3 linked regions of the Macaca fascicularis genome follow. The protein of the gene in region 2 binds, or shares a complex with, the protein of the main gene of each other region. Links are inferred from orthologs where the notes say so. Each region holds a gene or a part of one and is shown on either strand. Other genes may lie near its edges. The genes, in order: MIDEAS, DNTTIP1 and SAP30.

Region 1 (6,252 bases), on a different chromosome or scaffold from region 2:
GGTGGCAGTTCCCTCACTCTGACTCTTGGGTTATCTACCCTCCTCCTCCTGCCCCGACCCAGGGCTGTGACTCAGCACTGAGCAGGGCCCCATGGATGCTGGGGACCTCTCAGGGCACCATGCCCGCCACAGCCAGGCCCACCTGTGTAGTGATAAGTTGCCAGCGGATGGTTGTGGGGCCGCAGCGGCTTCTTCAGTAGCAGCTTATTCAGCGTTTCCTGGAGGGGAAGTGAGGGAAGGGTCAGGGCGCTGGCAGGGGTATCAGTGGTGGACAGAGCATTCTAGGCCCTGATAAAATCCTGAGTAGGGTGGGTACTTACTCTTGCCCCCCCTTAACTGCTGAGAGATAAGGGGTTTGGTGGGGTGGTGAGATCACAGGGGGTGAGACTGCCCAGAAAACAGGCCTCAGGTCCTCTTAAGAGAGACCATGGCCCCAAGGGAGGCAGCACTGCTGGAGAAGGCTCTCAGCAACCATCCAGTCTGAGTCCACTGACCCAAAATCAGGGATGGGAATGGACGGGAGAACGCTGCACAGCAAAACCTGGGGGCCGAAACTAGGGCTCCCTCGGGTCAAGCCTCTACAGCCCCTTCCTTAGTCAGACCCTCCTACTGGCCTCAAAAGTGCATGCCAGCAGGCCTAGCTCCTGAGCAGCAGACATGGATCCAAGCCAGCCCCCACTGAGGGGTCCTCCCTCTGCTGGGGGCGCCTTCTCACCAGGATGTCTCCTCTGGACTCGTGCAAACAGTGCAGGGCTAACTCCTGGTTGGTGCCAGCACCAGGGAAAATGCTGGAGCAGGCAGCTGTCAGCAGGTCTTCCACTGGATCCACAGGAGCATGAGGGGGGAGGGGAGGAAACCACGTTCAGCTCGGGGCTGGGCAGGCTGAGGCCTGTGCCTGCCCTCACTGGCTGCCCCAGGCCCCTCCTCACCTTGCCTCTGCTTCTCCCGGCTGCTCTCTAGGTTCTCCCATGGCTGCCACACCAAGTCGGCCTTGTGGGGATCTGCAGCTGCCAGGGCACGGTCCCTGATCAAGGGGATTTCCGCCTGGAACCGGGAGCCCACGTTGATCCGTCTAGAGGAATGAAAAGGGCAGGAGGTGAGGCCTCACCTTGCGGGGACAGAGAACTTGATGATCCCTCAGGGTGGGAAGAAGATGAGGGGGAGCCGGCAGAGCAAGGCCTCAGCTAGGTGGAGGGAGTCTGGCTTCTAGGGGATTGGGAGGACAGTCTGACCTGGCACCACTAGAAAGGCAAGGTCCAGAGGCAGGAGAAGGGAGAAGCAGCTCCAGGTTTACAGATGGGAAAGAGCCTCTGGACCCCCCTTCCAACTCTCCTAGAGATAAGTTCAAGCTGAGCCGGTCCTTGTCCTTCCCTGCAACTTCCACACAGAGGCAGGGCGGGGACAGCAAAGTCCAGGGCCAAATACAGAAGCTCAGGGAGGCCCTCTCAGCCCTATGCAGTCCCCACGGAACCCTCCTGTTGCTCCCAGGGCCCACCTGCACACACTGCACCAGTGTGGCCACCCACACACCCTCGGCCAGGGGCAGGGCTGCACTTACGGCTCGATGCTCACTGGGGTCGCCTCCCCCATCACAGAGAGGACAGGCGGGGTGACTTCAGCACTGTCTACGGGACAAAGAGCAGGTTGATAAATAGTACCTCCTTTTAGCAAAGCACCCCCAATCCTAGTGGCTGCCCTGTATGTGCAAGAGTCACAGTGGTGACACACAGAGCTCACACAGGGAACACAGGCACCTGAGTCCTGGCTCTGCAGCCTGCCACCTACAAAAACGCAGGCTCTTCACTAAATATTTGGGTGCCTCAGTTTTCACACCTACCAAAAGGGACGATTACTACCTGTCTCCTAGAGTTAATGTGAGAACTGGATAAAATAACACACTGAGCCTGGCACTCGATAAAGATTATTATTACTGCTTCTACAACTAAAGCCATATCCCTGCCCCAGAAGCTCCAACACTAGAGAATCAGCTCCAATGTAAAGCTGTGGTTTTCTAGTAAAGAGACTGAAACTTTGAGCACACTAGGGAGGTGGTGAAGGGCATCGCTGTTATACAGTTATTGTCTCACTTTCTCACTTCCTCTTTGGATTTTCCGCCTCAGTTTCTCCCAAGCTAGTTTTTTTTCTTTCTTTCTTTCTTTTTGAGACAAAGTCTCACTCTGTCTCTGCCCAGGCTGGAGTGCAGTGGTGTGATCTCGGCTCAAGGAGTTGAACCTCTAAGTTCAAGCGATTCTCCTCCCTCAGCCTCCCAAGTAGCTGGGATTACAGGTGTGAGTCACTGTGCCCAGCCCCAAGCTGGTCTTCTTAAGGCCCCACATGATCAAAACACTCCTTTGCTCAAAAACAAAAAAGAAAAAAAAAAATCTTTGCTTTTTACTGACTCCCTGCTGCAATGTGAGATAAAACCTGCAACCCTCCCCTCAGAGTTCAAGGTAGTTCCGCTTCCATCTGTACCTCTCACCACCCATGTGCCTGGACCTGCATCCTAGCTGACTGCTTATCTCTCGGCCCCTCACTCTCCCTGCATGGTCCCATCTACAGGCCTTTGCATCAGTCATTTCCTCTCCCTGGTGTGTCCTCCCTGCCCCTGCCCTCCTCCATCTCTGGGGCTCAGCTCTGGCCCCACCCCACTTGAATGCAGTCCTCACCAGCCCAGGCTAGCTGCTAGGGACTTCACTCACTGGCTACAGATCCCACACTGCCAGGAACCTCTGTTTTTCCAACTCCCAGGCTTTCATGTCAACTCCCTAATGACCTTGCATTCTCTATAGAACAGACCACGGTGTCCTGTACATTCTTGGAGCCCTCACAGGACCCAGTTCAAGGCCTTACGCCCAAGTGTTCGGTAACTACTCGTGGGCAGACTGACCTCTCGCTGGCTGCCAGTCTGATCTCCACAATGACTTCCTCTTCCTACACAGCCTAGCCAGGGAGAAGCCTCCCCAGGAAGCAGGACAGAAGGCTGGCCAGCCTAGGGCAAACATTTTGCACCCACAGACACCAGGGGGCACCAGAGAGCTACACCATGGGTGAGGTCACAGTCAAAGGTTAATTGGCCAAAAGCATCTATGAGCTAGCTACTTCCACTTAATCCTCTCTACCACCCTAAGGGATTGGATTACCCCATTCTGCAGAGGAAATGGATCTCCTTGTGGAGTGGGCAACACTTTTCGGCAGGACACCACCCCAAGCCAGCCCAATATTTCCAGAGTGTCTGTTTTTGGCCAAAATGACTGTTTGAGAGCCCCAGAGACCAGATCTGCTGCAAAGGACTATGAGCAAACAGGATGGCCTGGCATGATGTTCCAGCTTTATGTGTGCTAATGCACCTGAGCCTAGGAAGTGGTCATTAGGTTGAACCAAAGGAAACTACTATTTGTGAACCCAAAAATAGTTGAATATTGGCAATTTCATCATCAACCAAGTACTACTAATATCCCCATCTTAATACTGAAAAAACTGAGGCCCAGGGAGTTGAAGTGACTTGCAAAAGTGGATGTAACAGTAAATGATGAAATTGAGATTTGAATCCAAGCAGCTGGGCGGGCCCTCCGCCCCTCCTTGTTGAATGAGGACAACCTCCTTCTCAATCTCAGAGAAGACAGAGCAGAGCTCCTTCTCCCAGAGTGTTCCAGCCCAATCCCGCAGCAGCCCCATAGGCTGAGATGCCTCCCTGCCCACTGCCCCAGCCCCGCTCCTGCCAGGGCCGCGGAGGGAGGTCACTCACTAGTCCGGAGCAGCGTGCGATGGGCACTCTTAGGTGTGATGGGAGGAGGGGCGGGGATGGTGTTGGTTGATATGATGGCATTGAAGTAGAGGCCAGAGCCTTCCCGCACAGGGCTGAGGATGGGGGGCGGCGTGTAGGGAGGCAGCTCAAAGCTCCGCTCAGAGGGGTGGTCAGCTAGGCGCACAGGAGAGCGCAGGTGGCTCTGGTATGGGGTGATGTTGGAGTAGACGGGAGGGGCGATGAAAGTGCCCGCCTTGGTGGGAATGATGAGGGGCTCGGGCCTGGGCCGCTGCTTTGGTTTCCTCACGGAAGGCTCCCCCTCCAACTTGACATTTATGTCTTCCGCCTGGAGAAGGAAAGAAAACAAAGATGGCTCAGCCTTGTGTCCCAGGGAAAGTGAAGTCTTAACCACAGCTTGCCGGTCTCACCTTTGGAACTTAGGCTGCCCACCACACCCACCAAGGCAAGCCTGAAAAAAAGGAGCACGTCCAAAAGCCCTTATTGTCTCCTCTAGGCCAGAGGTCAGCAAACTTTTTCTGTAAGGGGCCAGAGAGTAAATATTTTAGGCTTTGTGGGCCACATGTGATCTCTGTTACATATTCGTCTTCTTTCCCTTTTTCTTTTTAAAACTAATCGTATAAAATTGTAACACCATTCTTAGCTCTGGATTTGGCCCCCAGACCACCGTTCCCCACCTCTGCTGTAAAGTGTGTGACAGGGCAGAAGAGTACAGTAGTTCAGGGCCCAGGCTCTGCAGCTGGACTGCTTGGGTTGGGACCTACCACCTTTATTGCCACTTAAAATTACTCAATCTTTCTGTGCATCTTCATTTTTAACATGGTGCCTACCTAGTAAGTGCCTACTTACTGGGGTAACTATGAGGACTACATGAATTAATACATGGAAATCACTGAGAACGCTACTTGGTACCTAGTAAATATTGGCTATCACTACTTAAACTCCAGGCTCTGCGTTAGATGAAAGTTCCTACTGCGTGCTAAGACCTGAGCTGGGCATGGGACTACAAAATGGAATGGACAAGGCCGGGCGTGGTAATCTCAGCACTTTGGGAGGTCGAGGTGGAGGGATCACTTGAGGTTGGGAGTTCGAGACCAGCCTGGCCAACATGGCAAAACCCTGTCTCTACTAAAACACAAAAATTAGCTGGGCATGGTGGCAGGTGCCTGTAATTTCAGCTACTCAGGAGGCTGAGGCACGAGAATCACTTGAACCCGGGAGGTGGAGGTTGTAGTGAGCCAAGATCGTGCCACTGCACTCTAGCCTGGGTAACAGAACTAGACTCTCTCTCAAAAAACAAAAAGGAAAAAGAAAAAAAAAAAAATGGAATGGACAGTCCTTGTCCTTGCAGAACTTTTGTTCTCATAGTATTAATCCCACTAGGAAAGTCTAGCCCATGCACACTGGCAAAAGTTAGCCCGCCTACTTCTCCTTGCTAGGTGTGCCTCATGGGCCTCTATCTAGAATAGGGAGCAGGACTATAAGACAACAGAGGCCTTCCCTTGCTCGATTCCTATAATCTCAAAGGCAGAGAATGGAGCCCTACAAGGTGAGCAGCATCCAGTTTATCCCTCTGCATACTCAGTATAACAGGTAAGGCTGGCCATGTTGACCAAGTGGGCCTTAGAATAATGAGCTGTCTCCCTGCCAAGGTTCTGGCTCCCATAAACACCTTCCAGCAGAGGGCCCTGACTCCCCTTTGAGGCTGTGGCCATGTCCTTCACTCATCTGCGCCCTCTTTTCCCTTCTAGAAATTGGGATGAAATGAAATCGTTCATTTTTCTTCCCTTAGGGAAACAATATGATTGCACAGAAAAAAAAAAAAAAAAAATGCAGGAGCCAAAGGCCCCCCCCCCCAAACTTTCTTGACAAGAAATCTAACCAAAAAATCAGCTGGCTGTAATCATTTGTAATTTTATAATAAGAGATTTAAACTATTCTGAATATTTGACAAAAACAGTCATGTTCATTTCTTAGGTGTGGTAATGCTACTGAGATAATGTTGAAGAAGAAAGAGTCCTTATGTATTTCAGACACAAACTGAAGTATATATGGATGGAATGATACGATGTTCAGGATGTGCTTCAAAATAACCTAGCGGCATGGAGAAGCAGAGGTACAGGTGAAACAAGATTGGCTATGTTTTGATAACTGTGAAATCTGGGTGATGGCTAAACGCTGGCATTCATTATAGCCCTCTCTACTTTTATGCATGAAAGAAAGTATCTGTAGTACAAAGAATAAAAACTAATGAATGAAATAAACAAGTAACAAAACCTCCCCCCAAAGCCTGGTGTAGTAGAAGTACTCACAGGCAGGGATTCAGGAGATCCCAATTCTAGGGCTAGCTCTACTATTACTTGGCTGTATGACCTTAGGTCAGTCTCTTGTCTTTTCTGGACCTCGCTCCTCATTTATAAAATAGGGGCATTGAGCTGTGGAGCTGCTGAGGCTCCTTCCTGCTCACTCTCAGAACAAGCTGCCCAGAC
Region 2 (7,032 bases):
TTCTGGCTATATTGTTAAACATATCTGTACTGGCCAGGCACAGTGGCTCATGCCTGTAATCCCAGCACCTTGGGAAGCTGAGGCAGGAGGATCACCTGAGGTCGGGAGTTTGAGACCAGCCTGACCAACATGGAGAAACCCCATCTCTACTGAAAGTACAAAAGTAGCTGGGTGTGGTGTTGCATGCCTGTAATCCCAGCTACTTGGGAGGCTGAGGCAGGAGAAGCACTTTAACCTGGGAGGCGGAGGTTGCAGTAAGCCGAGATTGCGCCACTGCACTCTAGCCTGGGCAACAAGAGCAAAACTCTGCCACAAAAAAAAAAAAAAAAAAAAAAAAGGTGGGGTATGGTGGCTCGCACCTGTAATCCCAGCACTTTGGGAGGCCAAGGTAGATGGATCACTGGAGGCCAGGAGTTCAAGACCAGCCTGGCCAACATAGCGAAACCCTGTCTCTACTAAAAACACAAAAATCAGCCAGGCATGGTGGTACACACTTGCAATCCTAGCTACTCAGATGGCTGAGGTGCAGGAATTGCTTGAACTTCAGAGGTGGAGGTTGCAGTGAGCCAAGATCTTACCACTGCACTCCACCCTGGGTGACAGAGCAAGACTCTGTCTCAAAAAAAAAAAAAAAAAAAAAAAAAAAAAAATCTGTCCTATTACTCGCCTGGCTTATTTTCCTCTAGTCACACTGGCCTATTCATTGCTTTGATGTGCCAAGCACACTCCTGTCTCAGAGCCTCTACCATTTCCTCTGCAACTGGACTGCTTCTTCCCCAAGTATCTTCATGGTTTGCTTTTTCCTCACTTATTCAGGTCTCCACTCAAATGTCCTCTATCAAAGGCTTTCCTAGCCACAATCTATAAAACAGCAACCCTACTCTCTACTGGTTGCTCTCTTTCCCCTGTCTTCTCTCTTTCTCTAACACAGCACATATTTGTTTACAGAGAGCATATGTTCTGTTTACTGCTACATCCCCAGTGACTAGAATAGTGCCTGGTAGTATAGTAGTCATTCAATAAATACTTTTTATTTTGAGAGGGAGTTTTGCTCTTGTTGCCCAGGCTGGAGTACAATGGTGCAATCTCAGCTCACTGCAACCTCTGCCTCCCAGGTTCAAGATTCTCATGCCTCAGCATCCCGAGTAGCTGGGATTACAGGTATGTGTCACCACGCCTGACTAATTTTTTGTATTTAGTAGAGATGGGGTTTCAGCATGTTGTGTCAGGCTGGTCTCGAACTCCTGACCTCAGGTGATCCACCTGCCTCGGCCTCCCAAAGTGTTGGGATTACAGGTGTGAGCCACAGCGCCCGGTAAATAAATACTTCTTACATAAATGAATAAATGTAAGAGGAGGAGATTTAGGAAGAAAAACAAAGAGTTCAGTTCTGAACATACTGAGTTTAAAGCATCCTCTTTTGGTACATTTAAGTAAAGTCATGTGGAAATTTATTTATAGGCCAGGGAAAAAACCCGTAAATAATAATAATAATGGCAACTTTATTTATCTACATATATTTTTCGAGAAAGGCCCTCACTGTCACTCAGGTTGGAGTGTAGTGGTATGATCATAGCTCACTACAAACCCAAACTCCTGGGCTCAAGTGATCCTCTCGCCTGAGCCTTCTGAGTAGCTGGGACTACAGGCACGCACTACCATGCCTGGCTAATAAATTTTTTTTTTTTTTTTGTAGTAGAGATGAGGTCCCACTATGTTGCCCAGGCTGGTCTCAAACTCCTGGCCTCAAGTGATTCTGCCTCGGCCTCCCAAAGTGCTGGGGTTGCAGGTGTGAGCCATTGTGCATGGCCCCAATAATGGTGATATTATTAAACAACTAATAGAAGTACTTACTGGACACTTGTTATGTCCTAAGTGCAGTGCTCAGCACAGTACATTTAAGTCATTTCATCCTTACAAGAAGTCAGCAAAAAAAACAAAAACAAAAACGTGACAGTGAGTGACAAGGGCAGATTTAAAAAAAAAAAAAGATATCTGAATTACCCTCAAGGAAGGGATAAAATTCTTGGGGGATTAAAAATTTGAAAGCTGGCCGGGCGCGCTGGCTCACACCTATAATCTCAGCACTTTGGGAGGCCAAGGTGGGCGGGCAGATCACTTGAGGTCAGGAGTTTGAGACCAGCCTGGTCAACAGTGAAACCCTGTCTCTACTAAAAATACAAAAATTCGCTGTGTGTGGTGGTGGGCGCTTGTAATCCTGGCTACTAGGGAGGCTGAGGCATGAGAATCGCTGGAACCTGGGAAGTGGAGGTTGCACTGAATCGATATCATGCCACTGCACTCCAGCCTGGGTGACAGAGTGAGACTCTGTCTCAAAAACACAAAACAAAACAAACAAAAAAACAAAAAAACAAAAGGAAAACTTTAGATATCTGTGTGTAGGAAAGAGACGGACTGGTGATGCAAGGAAGGACTGGGCTCCTCATGAGTCTTTCCCGTTATTTTTTATCCTGTGTCCCTCTCACCTTCATGTACTTGTTGAAGACAGTCTGGATCTCCTCATTGATGCTAGGCTGCAGGACAGCTCGGAGGAGATCCATAGAGATGGCAGGATCTGTGAAACTGCATTCAGGAGGGAGACAGGGTGAGGGGGCATGTCCGAAACATATTCTTTCTCACCTTGCCCAGTCAATTATGGACATAGAATTCTTTAACAATACTAGACAACTTTTACTGAAAACTAGCTACATGCTCAGATTTTGTTCAAATCACAAAGGCATGACTTTATTTCATTCTCATAACTCTATGAAGTGGGTATTATTTTCAAAGTTTTTTTTTTTTGGACGGAGTCTCACTCTGTTGCCCAGGCTGGAATGCAGTGGTGTGGTTTTGGCTCACTGCAACCTCCGCCTCCTGCGTTCAAGCAATTTTCCTGCCTCAGCCTCCCGAGTAGCTGGGATTACAGGTGTGCACCACCACACCCAGCTAATTTTTGTATTTTTAGTAGAGACCGGGTTTCTCCTTGGTCAGGCTGGTCTCAAACTCCCAACCTCAGGTGATCTGCCCGCCTCAGATCCCCAAAGTGCTGGGATTACAGGCGTGAGCCACTGCACCCGGCCATCTTTTTGTATTTTTAGTAGAGACAGGGTTTCTCCATGTTGGTCAGGCTGTTCTCAAAGTCCTGACCTCAGGTGATCCGCCCACCTCAGACTCCCAAAGTGCTGGGATTACAGGCGTGAGCCACTGCGCCCGGCCCAAAGTGTTTTTATGAAATATAATACTTATTATACAGAAAAGTCTATACACTTTAATGAGTAATTACAGTGAACATCCAATTCACCACTACCAGCATCCCAAAGGCCCACCTTGTGCTCTCTCCCTTCCCTGAGATGGATACTATTAATCCGTCTTTATAGTTGAGAAAACAGGGGCTCATCAGAGGCTGCATGAGAACACAGTTGTCTGACTCCAGAGCCCGTGCTCTTAAACTCCATGCTAACTGACCTCTTAAGAGCCCTCAATCACAGAGCCAGTGAATGTGAGGGGTCTTAGGTATTTTTTATTCCCCAACCCATCTCCTGTGCCCTTCCCCATTTCGTGAGTTCAGAGAAGGAAGTGACTTGACTAGCTCAAGATCACACAGAGTTACAGGATCGGAGTCTCCTCTTTCTCAGTCCTGTGCTCTTTCTACAGGCTGTAGATCTCCATAGTCTTGTGCACTGGGGATCCCAAAGCTGCCATGCAAGCCAGTGGCTGGGATACAAGTCCCATGCAGGGCCAGCCTTACCTTGTTGTCATCTGTGAGCGGCGGCCCCTCCGCTGCACCTGCCGGTGCTTTATCATTATGTTCCAAGGGTTCTGTGGGGACCAACGGAACAAATGTCACTGCGGCCTGTGACACTGGCGTGGGGTGGAGGTGGAGGGTGGGTATGAAGTTAAACCTAAACATTCCTGCTTCTCAGATCCGTCACCATCTCTCCCGCCTTGGGGTATCGGGGGAGGACAACAGTTGGAAGGCCCCCTCCACAAAAGAGGAACTGAGGAAGTTTCCTGCCTTAAAAGTCCCGACCCTGCCTTCTGGCACGGCAGGAGGAAGGGAAGCAGTGTTTACCGAGGGTCAACTCTGTGTCAGGTGATGTCCTGGGCGCTGTACCCGCCTTTATCTTCCCATCCCACAACAACTTTTATGAGACAGGTACTAATCATCTCCATTTTATAGAAGATGATCTGGGGACTCAGGGGGTCGACAGAGCTGGCCCACGTCACCTAGCTAGGAGGGCGGCACCAGAATTTGAATCCAGGTCGTCGGGCTGCGAAAACGCCAACCCCCTCTGCAGCTGCAGCCGCCGCGTTCTCGCCCGCGGGCCAGGGTCCCGGGAGCCCCGAGGCCCTGCCCGGCCCGAGCCCAGACCTCACCGGGGGCGCCCTCACCGTGAGAACCAGCTGCCCCGCTGCGCCCGCATCCCCCAGCTCCAAGCCGCCCCGCTCGGCCCCGCTGGGTCCCCGCGGCTGCTCGGCGTCGCCAGTGGCTCCCATGGCGCCCCAGGCCACCACAACTTCGCCGGACTCTGCCACCGGCCGGAAAGTGGCGCCGTGACGTCACTGAGGCGCGCTGCTCGTCCGCCCGGAAGCGCGACGCAGGAGCTGCGGGGTTACCATGGGAACCGAACCGCCGCGCCTCGCCCGGGACAGTTACACTTAGACGCCTTGTGGTTGGAGGTCGTTGGGGCTTCCTCTCGGGAGGGCTGCCCCTCGATTGTGGAGTGTGGGTGTTCAGTGGCGGTTCAGTCAAGGGACGTTTCCCGCTGGGCCAAGGCCTGTGGATGACTGCGGGGTAGGAGGAGGGGAGCTGGTTTCTGTAGGCTGGGGTTGGGGAGCAGAGGGAAGTGTTTGGTGCAGCGACGCCTGCAGTTCAGTGTTTGAAGACTAGATTTTAATATGCTGTGCCAGGGGCGGTGGCTCATGCCTGTAATCCCAGCACTTTGGGAGGCCGAGGCGGGAGGATCACTTGCAATCAGGAGTTCGAGACCAGCCTGGCCAACATGGCGAAACCCCGTCTCTACTAAAAATACAAAAATTAGCCGGGCCTGATGTTGGGCGCCTGTAATCCCAGCTACTCAGGAGGCTGAGGCAGGAGAATCTCTTGAACCCAGGAGGCGGAGGTTGCAGTGGGCCAAGATCACGCCACTGCACTCCAGCCTGGGCGACAGAGGGAGACTGTCTCAAAAAAACAAAAAACAAAAAGCAAAAAAAACAGGCGTATTAGGCACATGTTAGGTCGTCATCAAATGTTAATTATGCCGAGATTGTGCAGTGAGCCGAGATCGCGCCACTGCACTCCAGCCTGGAGGACAGAGGGAGACTCTGTCCCCCCCCCCCCAAAAAAAAAAAAACCATATTAGGCACATGTTAGGCCATCAACAAATGTTAATTATCTCCATGAGCCAACATCAATCTTATAACAATAAGGGCAACTTCCTGGCTCCAAACTTTTTCATCCTATTAGGGAGGTTTTAACCTTGTACCTGCCCATAGGACTAAGCAGTGCCAGTGGACACCATTGGGTATCACAGCTGACCAAAGGCATAAAGAGGACAGATAAAGAAAAAAAGAAATAGAGGAAAAAGAAATAAAGGTGGTATATGTAGGCAGACTATCTGAGTCATACATAGCAACTGTTCTCTTGAGTTCTGCCAGCTAGCCTTCATACAGTCCAAGAATGGCCTGTGTGGGCTAGAGGGACAAAGATGTAGGTGTTTGGTGCTTTTTCATTAGTTCTTAACAAACTCAACTACTGCCTTTCTGTAGGTTTTTGATAGTTTCTCCCCCCGCCTTTTTTTTTGAGACAGAGTCTCACTCTGTTACCCAAACTGGAGTGCAGTGGCATGATCTCCACTCACTGTAACCTCTGCTTCCTGGGTTTAAGCTATTCTCCTGCCTCAGCCTCCCAAGTAGCTGGGATTACAGGCATGTGCCACCACGCCTAGCTGATTTTTGTATTTTTAGTAGATACAGGGTTTTGCCATGTTGGCCAGGCTGGTCTCGAACTCCTGACCTCAGGTGATCTGCCCACCTTGGCCTGTTTGATAGTTTCTGAGTGGTCTGTTCCATTCTGTCTTTTCTGGGTTGCTAGGATGAACAATTTTGTTATGCTTGGTTATGTTATTAGCTTTGGCTATTTTCTTAAGCAGTGTCATGAGTCCCTCCCTCTGTCATTTGGGCTAAAGCCAGGTCCTTCCAATGCCCTTTAGGGCACTCTTTGATTCTTTTTCCAATGGCCGTCCTTCCATTTTTCCAGCCACCCACTAGGTTTCTCATCATCCAGGAATATTGTGTATATTGCTTATAGAGTTTGATCCTCCTATCACATGTGCCCTTTGGAAGTGCCAGGAATTTCCCCACACTCCAGCAGCCAATCCCTCTTCCTCTTGTCAGGAGAAGATATTCTTGATAGTATTGTGAAAGGGAAGGCTTTGGGACTGGGTTTGGGGCCATCCCTAGTCCTGCCCATACCTCAGCTGATACTCTGGGCAAGGTGTACAACTCTAGCCTGAACTAAGCTCTCATCCCAACTCTCAGCATCATCATGATGTTAAGCTGCCTCTTTCTTGTGAAGGCACTTCTTGCTCTTGGGTCCCTGGAATCCTGGATAACTGCGGGAGAACATGGTGAGCTATCATTTGGGATCCCTGGCCAAGAGTAACAGAAAGTGACTAGAGGAGAGAAGTCATCCCCTGCCTTCTGCCAGAGCAAGGTTGCTCGTAGGTGGAGATGATCATCTCTGTAGGACAGGACTGGATGAATAGATTCTCAGGATGGCCTGGGTCGTTCTTCCTGGCTTTCTTTACCCTCTCTGGACAAGGAGATAAGACTTCCAGTTGGGCTTACTAGAGGTTCTAGCTTTTCCCTAGAACTCATTAAATGAGAACAGGATCATCCCAACCTTTCTCTCTCGTTATCTGCGGGATGGCTGCTCCTTTAGTAGTGGTGGATGTATGTTAGTATTTGTGTATTAGGAGGGGAAGGTGGTTGCAGAATTTTTTTTTTTTTTTTTTAAGAGACAGAGTCTCA
Region 3 (6,840 bases), on a different chromosome or scaffold from region 2:
CGGAATATAATTTGGGCATTCAGTTGGAAAGACTGGAAAGCATACATTATGTTACAAAAATATGCTCTTCTTTAAGTAGAGAAAGTACTGTCAAGTAGCAAAAGTGGGCAGCATCATCTTTCCCCTTAACAGTTAAAAATTCAACATGAACTAATTCATGTCATCCTCACTGCTATTTATTTATTTATTTATTTATTTATTTATGTGAGACAAAGTCTCACTCTGTTGCCCAGGCTGGAGTGCAGTGGCGCGATCTCAGCTCACTGCAACCTCCACCCACCAGGTTCAAGTGATTCTCCTGCGGTAGCCTCCTGAGTAGCTAGGATTACAGACTAGTGCCACCACGCCCGCCCAATTTTTTGTATTTTTAGTAGAGACGGGATTTCACCATTTTGGCCAGGCTTGTGTGGAACTCCTGAGCTCAAGAGGTGCTGGGATTACAGGCGTGAGCCACCGCGCCCGGCCCCTCACTGCAATTTGATGACAAAACCCAGAGGGTTGGAATTTCTCATTCTCCTCTCCCTCCCTCCCTTCACCCCTTCCCCAAATGGAACCAACCCCTCCTTCCCCATCCACCATCCTTTTAACAGTATTCCAGACTTCTTATGTTTTAACAGGGTTTAGGATTTAAATGTATAAATATTTCATTGTGTTAACAATGGCCATCTTGACTGTCTTTATTTTTACTATCTGTGGCATATGTGTTTTCCTAATACATAGACACATTTTACTGTAATCATTAGCAGTGTGTGAAACTTTTCTGTTTCAGGCAAGGCATCTTTACATATGTGATTATCATAAAAACTTAATTCAGAGTGTTCGAAACAGAAGAAAGAGAAAAGGGAGTGATGATGATGGAGGTGATTCACCTGTTCAAGATATTGATACCCCAGAGGTAAATGGAAGTTTTTTATGCTTAATATAAATCCTAAGTAGTGCATTCTGAAACCTTTATAAAAAGATATGAACAATCTTTTAAGTGTTTAAAACATTTGAGAAATCTGAAAATGAAAGCAAAATTAAATATAGCCAGTTGTCATGCATTTACACAGTTTGAATTGTTACATTTTAAATTGACAATTTTTGCGGCTCTGTTGTCACATAACTTACTCTTTTTTGACCTCAGTTTATATTATTAATCCCCAAAAGATTAAACTGTTTAATAATTTATAGGTTTGATTATGTAAATTTTTTAAATAATTTTTTTGATTTTGGAAGTAAATTTTTATTGTGCTGAAGTTAAAATGTTTGTTATTATACATATCGATGATAAATTTTCCACAAATTGTATGAACTAATTTATGCATGTTAATTTTTTCTAGGTTGATTTATACCAATTACAAGTAAATACACTTAGGAGATACAAAAGACACTTCAAGCTACCAACCAGACCAGGACTTAATAAAGCACAGCTTGTTGAGGTATATATGATTTTTAAACTATTTGAACTATGCACAACCGAGAGGCTGTTAAATGCTAATGAAAGTATTAATGTAGTATATGTAACAGTACATTTAACAGTACATTTTATTTAGAAAGAACAATGTTAAAAAATCTATTGTGGAAGAATCTAGTTGTCTAAAAATGTTTGTCAGCCACTTAGGAAATTCCTTTTTGTAATGACTACTCAGCAGGTTGTGTACAGCACCTTCTGATACTGGCTTTCAAAATGTGTTGTTTGTTTTTTGAGACAAAGTCTCGCTCTGTCACCCAGGCTGGAGTGCAGTGGCACGATCTCGGCTCATGGCAACCTCTACCTCCCAGGTTCAAGCAATTCTCCAGCCTCAGCCTCCCAAGCAGCTGGGACTTCAGGTGTGCACCACCACACCAGGCTGATTTTTGTGTAATATCTTTAGTAGAGATGGGGTTTCACCATGTTGGCCAGACTTGTCTCAAATTCCTGACTTCAAGTGATCCGCCCACCTCAGCCTACCAGAGTGCTGGGATCAGCAGTGTGAGCCACCGTGCCTGGCCCTCAAAATGTTGAATGAGAGTTTTTTTTAATCCTCACTTTAGAAATCTATTAGTTTTAAAACTCCATTTAACCAGTAAATGTTTGAGCATCTAATTGAGGCATAATAAATTTAATTAGCAAGCTTTAATGTCCTTATTAAAATTTATATTTTAAAGTGGTGGAGTAGGCCTACAAATCAGCCCCTAAACAGTATTTTTATAATTTGCTGACTTAACTATTTCAAAATTGGTCCTTGTTGATGTTAGTTTTATTAGAGACATCTATGTTTTCTTCACATCTAGAAGAGGCAAAAGCTTTTCTTTTACCCAATCTTTTACTTGTAGTTTGCTTTGACAGAGGACTTCTAGTTAGTCAGTGAGTTGTGAAAGTTAATGGAGTATGCATATGTTCTCAGGATATAATAGAACCAAGAAGTCTGTGCATCTTATTAAGATGCTTATAGATTGATATATTTATATTTTAATCATATTTAAAATTTTTGCTTGCAGCTACTCAGGAGGATTGATTAATCCTAGGAGTTTGAGTCACCATGGGCAACATAGCAACACTCCATCTCTAAAAAAGAAAATTTAGCCTACTAGACAAAATAGAAGTGTAGATATATAAATCGGTTTTCTCATATTCTTTGCATGGATTTAGTAGTTACCCAACATTTTCTAAAATGTACAACATTTCATTGAATAAAATGAAATATGAATAGAAGTTACATTTATCTGATGGAACGCTTTTTAACATTGTTAAAATCTAATACATTAACTATTTAGCTAAAATTTCTTATCCTTGGTTAGGCAACACGGATCTAATTAATTTTTCTTTAATTTTGATTTAAAAGATCAAGTTCTTTTGGGGTTGTACAATACATTATGTAACGTAAATATAGATCTTGCCCACCATGATGAAATATTTCAGTAGGTACTAATGGAGTGAAGGCACCCCTGTTTTGGAACAAATGAGAACCAAAGAACTAATTATTTTAAATGTTACATTTAGGTATAAATTAAACCTGAAATTTTTGATAAACTGACCTTCTAAGAACAGTTATATTATTTCTAGAGCTATTTTCTTTTTTATACATAAGAGATAGCCATGAGTGTTATATTTTACTTAATCAGAAATGCAGTTATTAACAGGTTAAGGAATGTGGAAATGTGCAGATGTAGTACATATATTTTAAGACAGGGGTCCCCAACCCCAGGGCCATGGACTGGTACTGGTTGATGGCCTGTTAGGAACAGGTCCACAGAGCAGGAGGTGAGCACCAGCTAGCAAGAATTACTGCCTGAGCTCCGCCTCCTGTCAGATCAGCCGTAGCATTAGATTCTCACAGGAGTCCAAAACCACGTGTGAAGTGCACATGTGAGGGATCTAGGTTGTACGCTTGTTATAAGAATCTAATGCCTGATGATCTGAGGTGGAACAATTTCATACCAAAACCAACTCCCCCACCCCCAATCTGTGCAAAAATTGCCTTCCGTGAAATCGATCTCTGGTGCCAAAAAGGTTGGGGACCACTGTTTTAAGGGATTCCAGGGTTGTATGACTAAGTCTTAAGTCTCGTAATTGTTGTGTGGATGAACTTTTTTCTTAAGAAATTCTATTTTCTGGAATCTAAATATGCTTGTCAGCACCTCAGGTAAGTCTATTAATCTTCTATTCGTAATTGTAGTATGCATATTACATTAGCACAATGAAAAGGCAAGGAAGCAGGTAAACATCCTTCATTGAACATCCCTCTTTCTCCTCTCATTTCCATTCACAATTTTTATTCAGAAAAATTTTCAAGGAACCTTAACCAAAGAATGCTACCAAGATACGAATGAATGAATGTAATTTGCAGCAAGTAATTTATATGTTATTGTTGATTACTACCAAAAGTTTTCAACTTCATACTTCTTTTTCTATCAGTAGGGTCTAAACCATTGCAGGTTTAATGATGCATGTGGTCTCTTACATCTGTTTTATCTCATTTAAAGTTTAAAAGTAAAAACATGTATTCCCTACTCTAGATTCCAATTATAAAATTTATTATTTTTATCTTATTTATCTTTTTTGAGACAGAGTCTTGCTCTGTCACCCAGGCTGGAGTCCAGTGGCGTGATCTCAGCTCACTGCAACCTCCACCTTCTGGGTTCAAGCAATCCTCCCATCTCAGCCTTCTGAATAGCTAGGATTACAGGTGTACACCACCACGCCTACTTAATTTTTGTATTTTTTTTTGGTAGAGATGGGGTTTTGTCATGTTGCGCAGGCTGGTCTTGAACTCCTGGGCTCAAGTGATCCCCCTACCTCCGCCTCCCAAAGTGCTGGGATTACAGGTGTGAGCCACCACTCCTGGCCCAATTATAAAATTTAAAATAAATAAAAGGAAAATGTATTTTCTAATCAATGTATAGTAAATTGAGTGAGCCAAAAGGTCCTTTGAAATCACATTATCTCTTGTTCATAACATTTTATTCTTAAATGCTTTTTGTCCTGTTGGTATTTTCTTAAATATAATTTTTAAAGGAAATAGCTCTTATCACATAGATTTTTTCTTTGGATGAAACCGTATTTTTTACCTAGTTTATGAAACCTGTTATATCTAAAATTTAATTTCCTTAATTTTTTTTTTTTTTCTTTATAGATAGTTGGTTGCCACTTTAGGTCTATTCCAGTGAATGAAAAAGACACCTTAACATATTTCATCTACTCAGTGAAGAATGACAAGAACAAATCAGATGTCAAGGTTGATAGTGGTGTTCACTAGGAGACGTGGAATTGAGACTAATAACTTGGATGATAACACTGTTTACTGTTTTTTCACATGTAGAAATGTTCTTTGTGTATTTTTTCTACAGAGGATTTTCTCTGATTTTATTTTCTTTGTTTCTGACTCTAATAATTAGTTGGAAACTCATGTAAAATGAGCTTTCCTAAATTAAAAACTATTTTAAATAAAGGTTATTACTATTATAGTTGCTTCAGTGTATTTATTTTGTGAAACTTGATTTTTCTTTTAAACTGACTTAGAGATCAGTATTGATATTTTAATGTAAAGTCCTTCATTTTATAACCCCCTTTTTTTTTTTTTTGTAAACTTCCAAGAAATTAACAGGGTAAGGAGAAGTAACAAATGTAGCACATTTGCATTCTCTGGGACAATCTGACTTGGAATTGAAGATATTTTAAATAGCATTATTTTTTTTAAGTGCTTTATAATGCTAGCAAATTTGAAAAATAAGCTTCTATTGGAATACAACTTCTTTTTTATTTCCTTTTTTTTTTTGTTATTATTACTTGATGAAGTACTAGGAAGAACAAATGGTTTAATTTATATACCCACCTCGTTCCAAAGACAACTTAATGTGCCAGTGAAGATAAACACAATGCTGAAAGTCGAAATAAGAACATGAAATGAAATAGCTGTTTTTGAAAATTTTGTCTTTGGGAAAAGATATTTATGTGGCATGAATACAGAAAGTACCTCTGCTATGCCCCTTAATTTTTAGTGATGTCCTGTACTGTTTACATTGCAAATGGTAACTAGTAAGTTGGAGAGGTCTAGATATCTAACAAGATCTTCATTTAAATTTTGGTTATATATGACTGACTTGATTTATCCATCTCCGTTTTATGTTTCATTCCTGGTCAGTTTTCTATCAAACATTCTAAACCTCTGCTTTTCCTGAGATTATATTGTTTAGCTAAATCCTTATAATTACAAATCAAATTTATAGTTTGTAACGCTTCAGCAAACTGTTGTGAGATAAAGCTGCGGATTTTAGGCTGGAAATGGATGAGACCATTAATGTAGCTCATGATTTCTCAAAGTTGACATTTGGACTCAATAATTCCTTTTGGTGGGAGGCCGTTGAGTCTATTGGAGGATTAGCAACATCCCTAAGTCCACTCAGTAGGTGCCAGTAGCTCCTCCAAGGTGTGACAACCAAAAATTCCTCTAGACACTGCCAAACATACTTTGATGGTCAAAATCACAGCTAGTTGAGAACCACTGATGTAACTAAAGTACTGCATCTAAAGTACTAGTTCATTAGTAGGTGACTGCATATTTTCAAGTGTTCTTAATGTATTGACTGCTAGAAAATATAATGAACAATAAAGCAACTGGTCTTTGGTTTTGCTATGACCATTGAAAGATTTGCTTGCTACTTTATTAGCAAGCACAGGCTGTAATAATTGCTGTCATAGAAACTTCTCATTTCTGGAATTCTGGAAATCTGTGAGAAGACTTCTTATAAAAACATTTTGAGGCCGGGTACACTGGCTCACACCTGTAATCCCAGCACTTTAGGAGGTCAAGATAGGCAGATCACTTGAGCCCAGGCATTCAAGGCAAAATGGTGAACCCTATCTCTACAAAAAAATACAAAACTTAGCTAGGCCTGGTGACGTGCATCTGTAGTCCCAGCTACTTGGGAGGCTGAGGTGGGAGAATCACTTGAGCCTGGGAGATTGGGGCTGCAGTGTGCTATGATTGCAGCACTGCACTCCAGCATGGGCATTGGAGTGAGACCGACTCAAAAAAAAAAAAAAAAAAAAACCCAAAATGAAACCCATATTCTGTTCTTGTGAAAAACAAAAGCTTGAAATTATTTGCTGATATAAAAGTATGAACATAACCTTTGGCAATGTTAATTTCATATAATTATTTGTGTAATAAAATGTAGTTTTATAAAATATGAATGAAGAGTTCCGGATGGTAGTTATTCAATGAAATCAAATCCTTGTTAATTTAAAATACAAAAAATCGGATCTTGTAAGTTGAGAAGTAACTCAAGGAGCTGCAATGTAAAAGTCAGTTTTATATGAAAATTTCAGTGACCATTAGATTTTTTAAATGATGAATTCATTAAAAATTATTTTTA

The links.
Region 1: the proteins of DNTTIP1 (region 2) and MIDEAS are in contact, whole or in part, in a cryo-EM structure (PDB 6Z2J), measured with the Homo sapiens proteins. The link is inferred for Macaca fascicularis from reciprocal best matches to the Homo sapiens genes DNTTIP1 and MIDEAS. Residues at the interface, in NP_443183.1 of Homo sapiens: Pro63, Ser66, Leu69, Leu70, Ala72, Val73, Leu74, Pro76, Ser77; in NP_001036783.1 of Homo sapiens: Gln768, Asp771, Leu772, Thr774, Ala775, Ser778, Ser779, Ile802, Leu803, Leu806.
Region 3: DNTTIP1 (region 2) and SAP30 share a complex: the UniProt entries of both Homo sapiens proteins name them as parts of the histone deacetylase complex. The link is inferred for Macaca fascicularis from reciprocal best matches to the Homo sapiens genes DNTTIP1 and SAP30.

The regions. Positions count from the first base shown.
Region 1 is NC_088381.1:141,654,389-141,660,640, forward strand, and holds part of MIDEAS (mitotic deacetylase-associated SANT domain protein), read right to left. Parts: intron 4,092-6,252; coding exon 3,746-4,091; intron 1,626-3,745; coding exon 1,559-1,625; intron 1,073-1,558; coding exon 930-1,072; intron 820-929; coding exon 716-819; intron 219-715; coding exon 143-218; intron 1-142.
Region 2 is NC_088384.1:101,820,930-101,827,961, reverse strand, and holds the start of DNTTIP1 (deoxynucleotidyltransferase terminal-interacting protein 1), read right to left. Parts: upstream 4,566-7,032; 5' UTR 4,498-4,565; coding exon 4,393-4,497; intron 3,820-4,392; coding exon 3,749-3,819; intron 2,584-3,748; coding exon 2,487-2,583; intron 1-2,486. Other genes in the region: WFDC3 (WAP four-disulfide core domain protein 3), read left to right, coding at 6,548-6,629. UniProt on the Homo sapiens protein: Increases DNTT terminal deoxynucleotidyltransferase activity (in vitro). Also acts as a transcriptional regulator, binding to the consensus sequence 5'-GNTGCATG-3' following an AT-tract.
Region 3 is NC_088379.1:178,117,093-178,123,932, forward strand, and holds the end of SAP30 (histone deacetylase complex subunit SAP30), read left to right. Parts: intron 1-769; coding exon 770-895; intron 896-1,322; coding exon 1,323-1,421; intron 1,422-4,598; coding exon 4,599-4,721; 3' UTR 4,722-4,927; downstream 4,928-6,840. UniProt on the Homo sapiens protein: Involved in the functional recruitment of the Sin3-histone deacetylase complex (HDAC) to a specific subset of N-CoR corepressor complexes. Capable of transcription repression by N-CoR.